Oryzias latipes: one gene and its partner. The protein of the gene in region 1 purifies or fractionates together with the protein of each later gene. This does not show direct contact. Links are inferred from orthologs where the notes say so. Each region holds a gene or a part of one and is shown in the gene's direction. Other genes may lie near its edges.

Region 1 (4,361 bases):
TGATGAGGAAAACGTGCGAAATGCGATATTAGTGATTAATATTGCGATGATGATATAACTTGCAGTATATGAACAAATATTTAAACAAGGAAATACATAATTTCCATTTCACTGCAACAGTGAACAAAAATATATTCCAAATGACCCACATAAAAAATCTAACATAAAAGGGCTCCATCCAATTGGTCTATGATATAAAGGAGTCTATTCGATTGGTCAAACACATAAAGGGATTTGTTTTTTTCATTAAATACTACAAACTGCCATAAGATTGTTTTAGCATATTTAAGGTAACCATGCATTGCCATTTTAACCGTCTTTAGCGATATGCATATTGCACAGCTTGATATTGCGATAACAATACATTTGCCATTTATTGTGCAGGCCAACAGAGGTATTTTAATTTAGTTTTGTAATCTACAACTGCCCTTCTTTAAAGAATAAAAGAGACCAGCCGTATTATTGATGGGAGAAAAAGCAAAACAAAGAGCTGGTTATGGTAGGAATATGTGGATTCTCTGATGACCGCATTAGGAAGTCAGTATCAAGCAATATAAATATGTGTTTAGGAGTAATTAGAGATGCACATGCCCAGTAGCTTGTATAAATCAGATACAGTTCCAGCATCTATGCCATCCATCCATCGGTAATTAAGGGGCTGCTGGAGCCTATCCCAGTTTACTAATGTTTTCCGTTTTGTTTTCAATGCTATAACAATCAAAAACATAATTCTTGTTTGCTATGAAAAGGCTGACGGACAACTGCATAACCAGGACAGGGGTGGAATCTCTCATTGAAGCCTTGGAAAATAACCCACGAGTGAAGTCAGTATGGTATGTTACAGCATCCATCAATCCTTTGGTAATTAAGGGGCTGCTGGAGCCTATCCCAGTTTACTAATGATTCATACAGCGTGGACAAGTCGCCCGCTGGTTGCAGGGCCACACAATCACACGCCCATACACAGTCACACCTAGGGACATTTAGAGGGTGTGCCCCACCTTCGCACAACAGTAGCCAGGTTAGGCTCTGGCAGCCGTGTGACCCTGACAGGGCTAAAGTGGGATTCATACAGCCTACAAATTTTCATAAAAAAAGAAATAACTCAATAGCAAGTTACAAGACAACGCTTCAGACCTTTTTAAAGGACCTATAAAATAGCACTTCTATTTTTTTTTACACTTAGACTATGCACACAAGAGCTTGTTTTCACATAAAGAGTAGAATTTAGTTTAACTCAAGAATAGTTGTAATATATAAAAATTCACTAAAAGTCATTAAAACATTACATATATGATAATGGTACAGTCATTACCCTTTTAATATGGCGGACCCTGACAAAATCGAACATTTCCTACATCCGATCTAGAGCTATAGCTCTAAAGAGCCACTGTACATCTCAACCAGACTTGGTTTTCTGCGAGCCGTGGGAAACCCCCTCCTGTTGGAACTTGAAGATTGACAGGAAAACTAGCCAATCAACACACGAGTACGGAACGCATGACCAATGTCTGTAAGAGAGTGCAAAGTACGTCATCTGTTAACTGTAGCGAGGTCGGCTCCTGTAAATAATAAATCTCACATATGCAGCAGTACACCGCCTTATTCTTACGTATTTTTGAAACGCCAAAAGTATTTCGTTTAAATGTTATGTTGTGCACTTTAGCGAGGAGCAGCGGCCTGCCTGCTAGCTTGCTCCTAAACTGTTCGCGAGGCGACTTTAGCCTGATATTTAGCTAGTCCGGACGCTACCATTACCTAGCTATTTAGCTAATCAGAGGTTATTACAGGAATATTATACATATTCTATTGGCGCCCCCGTCAAGCAAAGATGGATGTATGAAATGACAGCCTTTTTTGGCCTATAGGTGACTCGACACACACAAAAGGTAAGATTTGTTTTTGCATAAGGAAAACGAATATTGGTATTTCCCTTTTGGGGCCGTTGTTGGCAGATTTCTAAATACAGCTGTTAAAGACACTCAAAAAATATTTAAGTCTAGGAAGATCACAGCTTTAGGCTTTCAAAAATTCAATTTCACCCAAAGCCAACAAATAGAAAGATTAAGGCAGCACTAGTTTGTGTATTATCACCTTGCAGAGATTTACTTAGCAATGATTAGCTCGGTTTTAATTGTGTGATTGTTTTGAGGCAGGTGTTTAATTCGTTCTCAACAAGGTATCAACGTCAGGGTTGTGAACTGTGATGCGCTGCTCAAAACAATTGACGGATGTGAAAGCAGAGTGATCTCTGTTGAGCGTATCTGGTGACCAAAAGATAAGGTGTGATCGGGGAAATCCAGCAGTCAGACCGGCGTTAGACCTGTCTGTCTTCTGCACGCTGTTTTATGCTATTTATAGTTCATTCAAATCAGTAGATCTGACTAACTGCTCCAAAAAATGTAGCCAAAAACAGATGGGTTTTTCACTCAGGTGATGCTTTGAAGAAGCTTCATACATCCTGAGCTGAATGTCATATCTGTGCACTTGTGAAGCAGTGAATAACAACATGTCAGTGTGTGTTTTTTTTCTCATGACTACCTGCAGACTCAGAATTTGCTAATTTAATCATAACTTGTAACATATTTGAGATAAGTATTGGTTTCTCTGTCCGCATATAAAACTCGACTCAAACCAAGATGCATGCTTTCATACTTTAGTCTGATTTCTGAAAGGGAAACGAGACAAAAATGTGCCACAGGCTATTGTGTGACTTAATGGTTTTTGCTGAAGCAAGTGTTATTCTGCACAGAGCTGCATTGTACCCGTTTGTTTGGTGTCTTTTAAAAAAACCCAGACAAAACGATATAGATGAGTGTCTGTAAGTTTCTTACCAGCTCTATCAGAGTTGTTAGTCTTAACACGTTCCTATCACTTGTCCATCAAATGCTGAACATGTCTTTTTTTTTATTTTAGGCCCCCTGGTCAAGCTCGCCTTGGCGCTGGTCCTGCTGCTTACCATGCAGCCATGAGCTCTGCCCTGTGGAACCAGGATAGGTCTGGTGGGGGCTTCAGGGAGGACTGGCGCTTCTACATGGTCATAAAAGAATGTACTGTGGAGAAGCCTGCACAGAAGACCCTAAGGATCCCCCGTGGTAGCCTGGGCCAGGCCTGTCAGGAGCGTAATAGCCTGGGACGAACTCTCCCTCCATGCAAGGGCAAGAAGAGCCTCCGCATCCTGGACCAGACCAACGTGGTGCTGAGCCTGGATGAGCGGGATGTGTTGGAGTTGGAGGAGAAGCTGGCTGAGCTGCTGTTCCCCATTACCAACTGTGAGGAGCGATATGCCCTGCTGTGCGACGAGCAACGTCTGCAGCGGGTTCGTGACATCGATTGTGGTTCCAAGGTGCGTGTCCAGCTGCGATCAGGGGATGAGCCTCTGCCAGGTGTGGTTCGCTTCAAGGGCTCACTGCTGCCTGACAGAGCCCTGTCGGGAATCTGGTTTGGAGTGGAGCTGCTGGTGAGAAATAACTTTTATCGGTCATACGTTTTGTATTTGTAATTGCAAGCTTTGCATTTTCATTCTGTTTTTTAAGGATTGTTGTGCTGCTTCTGGAGGAATGGTTTTAAAAGTCTGAGCTTTAAAAATGTTACAGCATTTTGTTGACGGGGACAAAACAATTTTTTTTCTGTCTTGCACATCGAGATGAGTTTGCATAAAAAGCATTAATTTACAACCAAACTGATTTAAACCTAAATTGATATTCAGTATTCACATGCCAAAACATTAAAGGTGGATTTGCATGGGCTTTAAATCGGCGTTTCCTAAGCCTGGTTGTCAGAACGCCAACTGTCCTGCATGGTTTCGATCCTATCTGGCTTTAATGACTGTAATCATTGTAAAGTTTCTACAAAGGTTGATGGAGTCTGATTGGATCAGGTGTGTCTGAGCAGAGTAGTGCTGAACACATGAAGGGGTGCGTTTACCGGGGATCAGGTTGGAGAAATTGCTCCAACAACTGGCTACAAATCCTCATACATAAACATTGCCACGAAGAGATTATTAGTTTACTTTGCCTTCTCTTTGTATTTGTTTAGAAATAATGCAGTTTCAGACTTCTAACATATTCTGGAAGCACTGAAATCTTAAGAAAAAAAGATAAACAAAAAAAGCAGGTTATAATACAATGTTTTGCAGGAAATCAACTTTCCGAAGTCACAAAAGGTCTTTCTTTAAAAGTAATTAAAAGTTATTGGTTGAAGAAAAAAAACAAGTACCTGAATGAATTAGAATTTGAAATATAATATGCATCACCTTCGCCGTCGATCAAGGAGAAGACTTGCTCTTTCCTTCATGTCTTTCTTCAAAGTTTTCATTTCTTCGATGCAGTTTTTCATTCAAGGTTAGGTTTTCTCCGTCC
Region 2 (4,288 bases), on another chromosome or scaffold:
GGTCCACGGCCCAACTGTAGTCCTACATACCGCACATACGGGCTTTTGAGGACGCAAACACTCTTGCAAACAATTGTGACAGAATCTGCCAAGAGGTAGAAAGAAATAACAACAATAAAAAGACAAATATTTAAACAAAATCCTCACATAAATATAATTGATTAGTTGGAATTATTTAATACCCACACAGCTCTCAAAGACAATTATTTTTTACTTTAGCTTCCGGTAAATTCGATGGAAATCCCCACCTCAAGGGGGCGCAGGGACTTGTAGTCCGTCACATTAGTCTTTCGAGTAACTGCAAAAGATTTATGAACTACATTTCCCTAATAAAGCCTATTCTTTGATGTAAACAAAACTGAAACTGATTTAACAGGCTAGAATAGGTTTTGCCAAATATATACACGCAGAAAAAGACAACATTACAGAATTTTAGCTCATAGCGAATCTAAGAATATTAACGTTGGCATTCTGTTAATGCCAGAATGCGTTAAAAGATCAAGCATTTCCCTTCATTGTTTTTAACTGGTATCGTTTCATCGATGGTGCTGAGCCTCAGTAAGGGGAGGGTGGTCAAAATAAGGCGAAATACTTACGTATGTCCACATTGTGTTCTGACAGGTCTCTCAAAGATTTCGAGGCAAACTGGACACATAAAATCTGACACGTCGTTGCTGCCGTCAGCAGTGGTTTCTCTCTGTTGTGCAGCGCTAAATCCTCCGCGCACCGCCATTTCTATTTCTTTTCTTCACTGCATTAGTTCCAAGCAACCCTTCCCATAGCAACGTCACTGGGTTTTGGTTGTTTTTTTACGGCGTGGGGCGGAGCCACCGCTGCATGTATGAGCAGAGGCTGCTCTACGTGCAGTTCTATTTATTCTGTCTGGCAGTGCAGCAGTTGACTCAAACTTGAGGTCTATGGCGGAAATTCTCCACCATAACTGTAAAATCCAACCACCTCCAAGTTCTACTAAGTTTAAGGCAGTCATTCGGCGACTGGAAAATATAACTTTCAATTCAAAAGAGAATGTAATCGTCCTCGTTTTCTAACGTCATTGTCAGTAATTGGGGAATTTAGAATAATGTCCGTATCCATCATCTTTTTTAGGTGCAGGTGAGGTGATCGAAGAATGCAGCCTGGTATTGTTACGTTTGGCCTCTGATTAAACCAGTAAATATTTTATCTGCATAATTAAAAACATAAATATAAACCAAACTATTGGCCTTTGTACTATTGTGATCCAAATCAACACTTCCTTATTGTGGGTGACTTTAGGTGGTGAAATTAATTAGCGTCTAAAAAAACTAGCGTTTGCAGTGTCTAATGATTAATGACTGACGGTCTACCTATAGGGTTTATTATGTGCATCTGTTTGTTGGTTTTGTCTAATACTAATGACTGTCAGTGTGGGCTCTGAATCCCCTCCCTTTACACGTGGGCCCCTAGTGGTCATGAACTGTCAAGATTTTGCGCATGCGTACTCCGCTAAAAATGAATTTTCAACAGCTGAGGAGGCGTAACTAGCGATGGTTAGCACTTATGAAAAGGTAAGATAACGATTTGATTGTGTTTCTGGGTTGGTTATGACTCGTAACACCTACAGTATCGTAATAACATGTTTGTTGATAAGAGAAATGGCTTGTTATTTTATCTGTTTGGGTAATTTCTCTTATATAGCGTGAAATAGCTGAGTGAGTGTAGCAATGGAACGCCCTGCTAGCCCGCCCAGAGTCAATTGCTAACTAGCCATCTGCGCTTAAATGGGCGTTCACTGCTTAGCTTGTACTCATTTGGGGGTCAGTGCCAGTTTTATTTAGGATGTCGAAAGTCTTTTAGAACACGTTCTACAGTGGATGTGTTGTTTTACATCACCCGTGTTAATTAACGATGCTGACCTAACTGATGCGCAGTGAAAAGGCATGTTGATGTAGCTTGCTAGCTAACTGGATATCCAATGCCAGGGCAAAAAAACTGGAACAGCCACCCGATTTATTTACCAGGAAACGACGTCCAATTTCCTGGACCTCTCCTCTGGCATGAAAACATTGCAGCTCGTTTTCATAAGTCACCTGTCGGTTCAGTTTGCCTGTTTTATGTCCCGCCATATAATTAGGGTAACGTGTGGACAGCCCCGATAAATCCTTTTCCAATTGAAACGTTAACTGAAAGGGACAGCCTTATCTGTGTCGAGCGTCAGCCTCAAGTGCCAGTCACCCATTATATTTCCCCTTCCTTATTGGTCATCGTTTCGCAGTAATGCAGCAGGTTTACGATTGTGACTGACAATATTAATTAAGGAACCCACACAATGCTTCCCACACAAAATACTTAATCTGCCTGAGATTAGTGATGCTTTACTTCCCTTAAAAAATGGAATAATTAGTTATGCAGAGCATATAGTGGTTGTTGCGACATCTTGTAACTTAAAGTGAAGCTTTTCTCGTAACAATACTTTCTGAGCTTGTGTTTTTAAATGACATTTCTATTTCTGTCATTTTGATTTCTCATTAGGACTCTGAGGTGGCTCAGAAGAATCGTTTAACGAACAGAACGTCTTCTAGAAGAGGGACGTGGAGCTCCGCATTCACAGCATCCAAGCCTAACTGTTTCTAAAGGCAAAAAAAAAAAAAACATCTTCTGACTTCACTTCTGGGGTAAAATTGAGTCTTGAGCTTTTACCAGAGATGGTTGTAAGACGGTATCCATGCCGATTGCAGCCTGGATACACCAAGTGAAAGCATCAGTCACCTGTCTTTCTACTTTAGAAGGGGTACGCCAGAGTGGACTCAAATCTAGTTCTTCCCTCATCTCCCAAAATACATAAGAAGTGACTGAGTTCCAATCTGTACAGGAAATTATGGTGACTAAAAATGGTGCTTAAATGTGGCATCCCGGTGCAGGTTGTGCTTAAATGGGGAGGGGGGGCTCTCTCAGAAAATTGTAAAAGCTGACTGAAAGTCTGCTTCTGACAATGGATGCCAAGTTGAAAGAAGATCTGTTTCGGAGGTATGTGACAGCACTGGAGAAACGTCTGGAGGAGGGGGGTGATTATACGGGGACCGGAACTACATCGGGTGGAGAGCAAAGTAGACAAAAGGACAAGGAGGCCCTACTTTCAACAGCAACGGCTCTGCTTGGCGCCTACCAGCCAGATCCTGGACAGAGGTTTCGCATGGTGCGTTTCTACGAGATTGTGGATAATTCCCTTCACTGCCAGAGAGGAGGCAGTCTCAAGAGCCTGGAGAGAGCATTTCACACCCTGGAAACCATCTGCACCAATCTCTTGCTCTTCCCTTGGAAAAAGGAGTTTAGATGTATAAAGGTGAGTTCAGTTTGTGATGGTAATGCCTAAAATAAGACTGATCACCACAACAAACACAATAGTTCCCTGTAGTATTTATACAGATGTTACAGTGTTACTGAGTTTTTATTTCTACCCAGTGAGCAAAGAGAAGTGCAGGATGCGAAGAGGATAAGGGTTCAAAGATTGTTTACATCTAAAATAGATGTTAAAAAAATACAAATTCAGAATTTATAGGTAGCTCAAAACTTTTATCTTGTAGAACTTAGAAGAGATAAAACTTTGATATATTTTACATGAATTCAGTTTTCAAAAAAATTAAAGACTGTTGGATTTACTTTTTTTGTGTTGTTGGTTAATCTTACCTTTTTTTTTAAGGAGACAGTAATACAGATGACATGTTTTCTCTTCCAGACCTTCACTGGGCCATACGTCTACCATCTGCAGTCTGTCATTTCTGATGCGGAACTCCGAACTTTGATGCGCACCATTGGGTATGCTTGTGATCATAATTCGCAGTTCCATTTGCAGGAGCATCCTGTGGGCTCAAATCATCTGCGCCAATTAGCATTCGAGCTCTTCTTGGCTCAGGCAGAGTGTCGTCTTCTGGGAGAGGTAGTGGCTTTGGCTCGTGGTTCAGCTTCAGAGCTGGAGGCCCTGGAACTCCGCAGAGGGAGCAGAGATGATGCAGCTGGCTGTGCTGAGGCGCTCCGTAGACGTGACAGCCTCGGGGCAGACATGGCTCGTCTGTCTGTGCGACCGCTGGATATAGAAAGACCTCACGCCCACCACTTAAGGCGAGGTAGCCGACCCTCCAAATCTGTGGATGTTACAGATGGGGCTGGGCACTGGCACCCAGCTGTGAGCAAGCCTGTTTTGAAGGCCTCGCTGAGCTTAAGGAAGGAACCTCTGTTTGTGGATGCAGAGGAAGATATGAAGGACGAGATCATCAGGCCCAGTACCTCGGCATCTTTTTTCTCCGTTGCA

Evidence for each region. Proteins that work in one complex are often made in the same cells at the same time.
Region 2: the proteins of cyld (region 1) and spata2 purify together in Homo sapiens (affinity purification with western blotting; 10 studies listed by BioGRID and IntAct, with this or other methods). This does not show direct contact. The link is inferred for Oryzias latipes from reciprocal best matches to the Homo sapiens genes CYLD and SPATA2.

The regions. Positions count from the first base shown.
Region 1 is NC_019861.2:30,227,088-30,231,448, reverse strand, and holds the start of cyld (ubiquitin carboxyl-terminal hydrolase CYLD), read left to right. Parts: upstream 1-1,524; 5' UTR 1,525-1,889; intron 1,890-2,916; 5' UTR 2,917-2,968; coding exon 2,969-3,460; intron 3,461-4,361. UniProt on the Homo sapiens protein: Deubiquitinase that specifically cleaves 'Lys-63'- and linear 'Met-1'-linked polyubiquitin chains and is involved in NF-kappa-B activation and TNF-alpha-induced necroptosis.
Region 2 is NC_019865.2:15,134,117-15,138,404, forward strand, and holds the start of spata2 (spermatogenesis-associated protein 2), read left to right. Parts: upstream 1-1,441; 5' UTR 1,442-1,547; intron 1,548-2,511; 5' UTR 2,512-2,971; coding exon 2,972-3,322; intron 3,323-3,715; coding exon 3,716-4,288. Other genes in the region: E3 ubiquitin-protein ligase RNF114, read right to left, coding at 1-85, 597-733.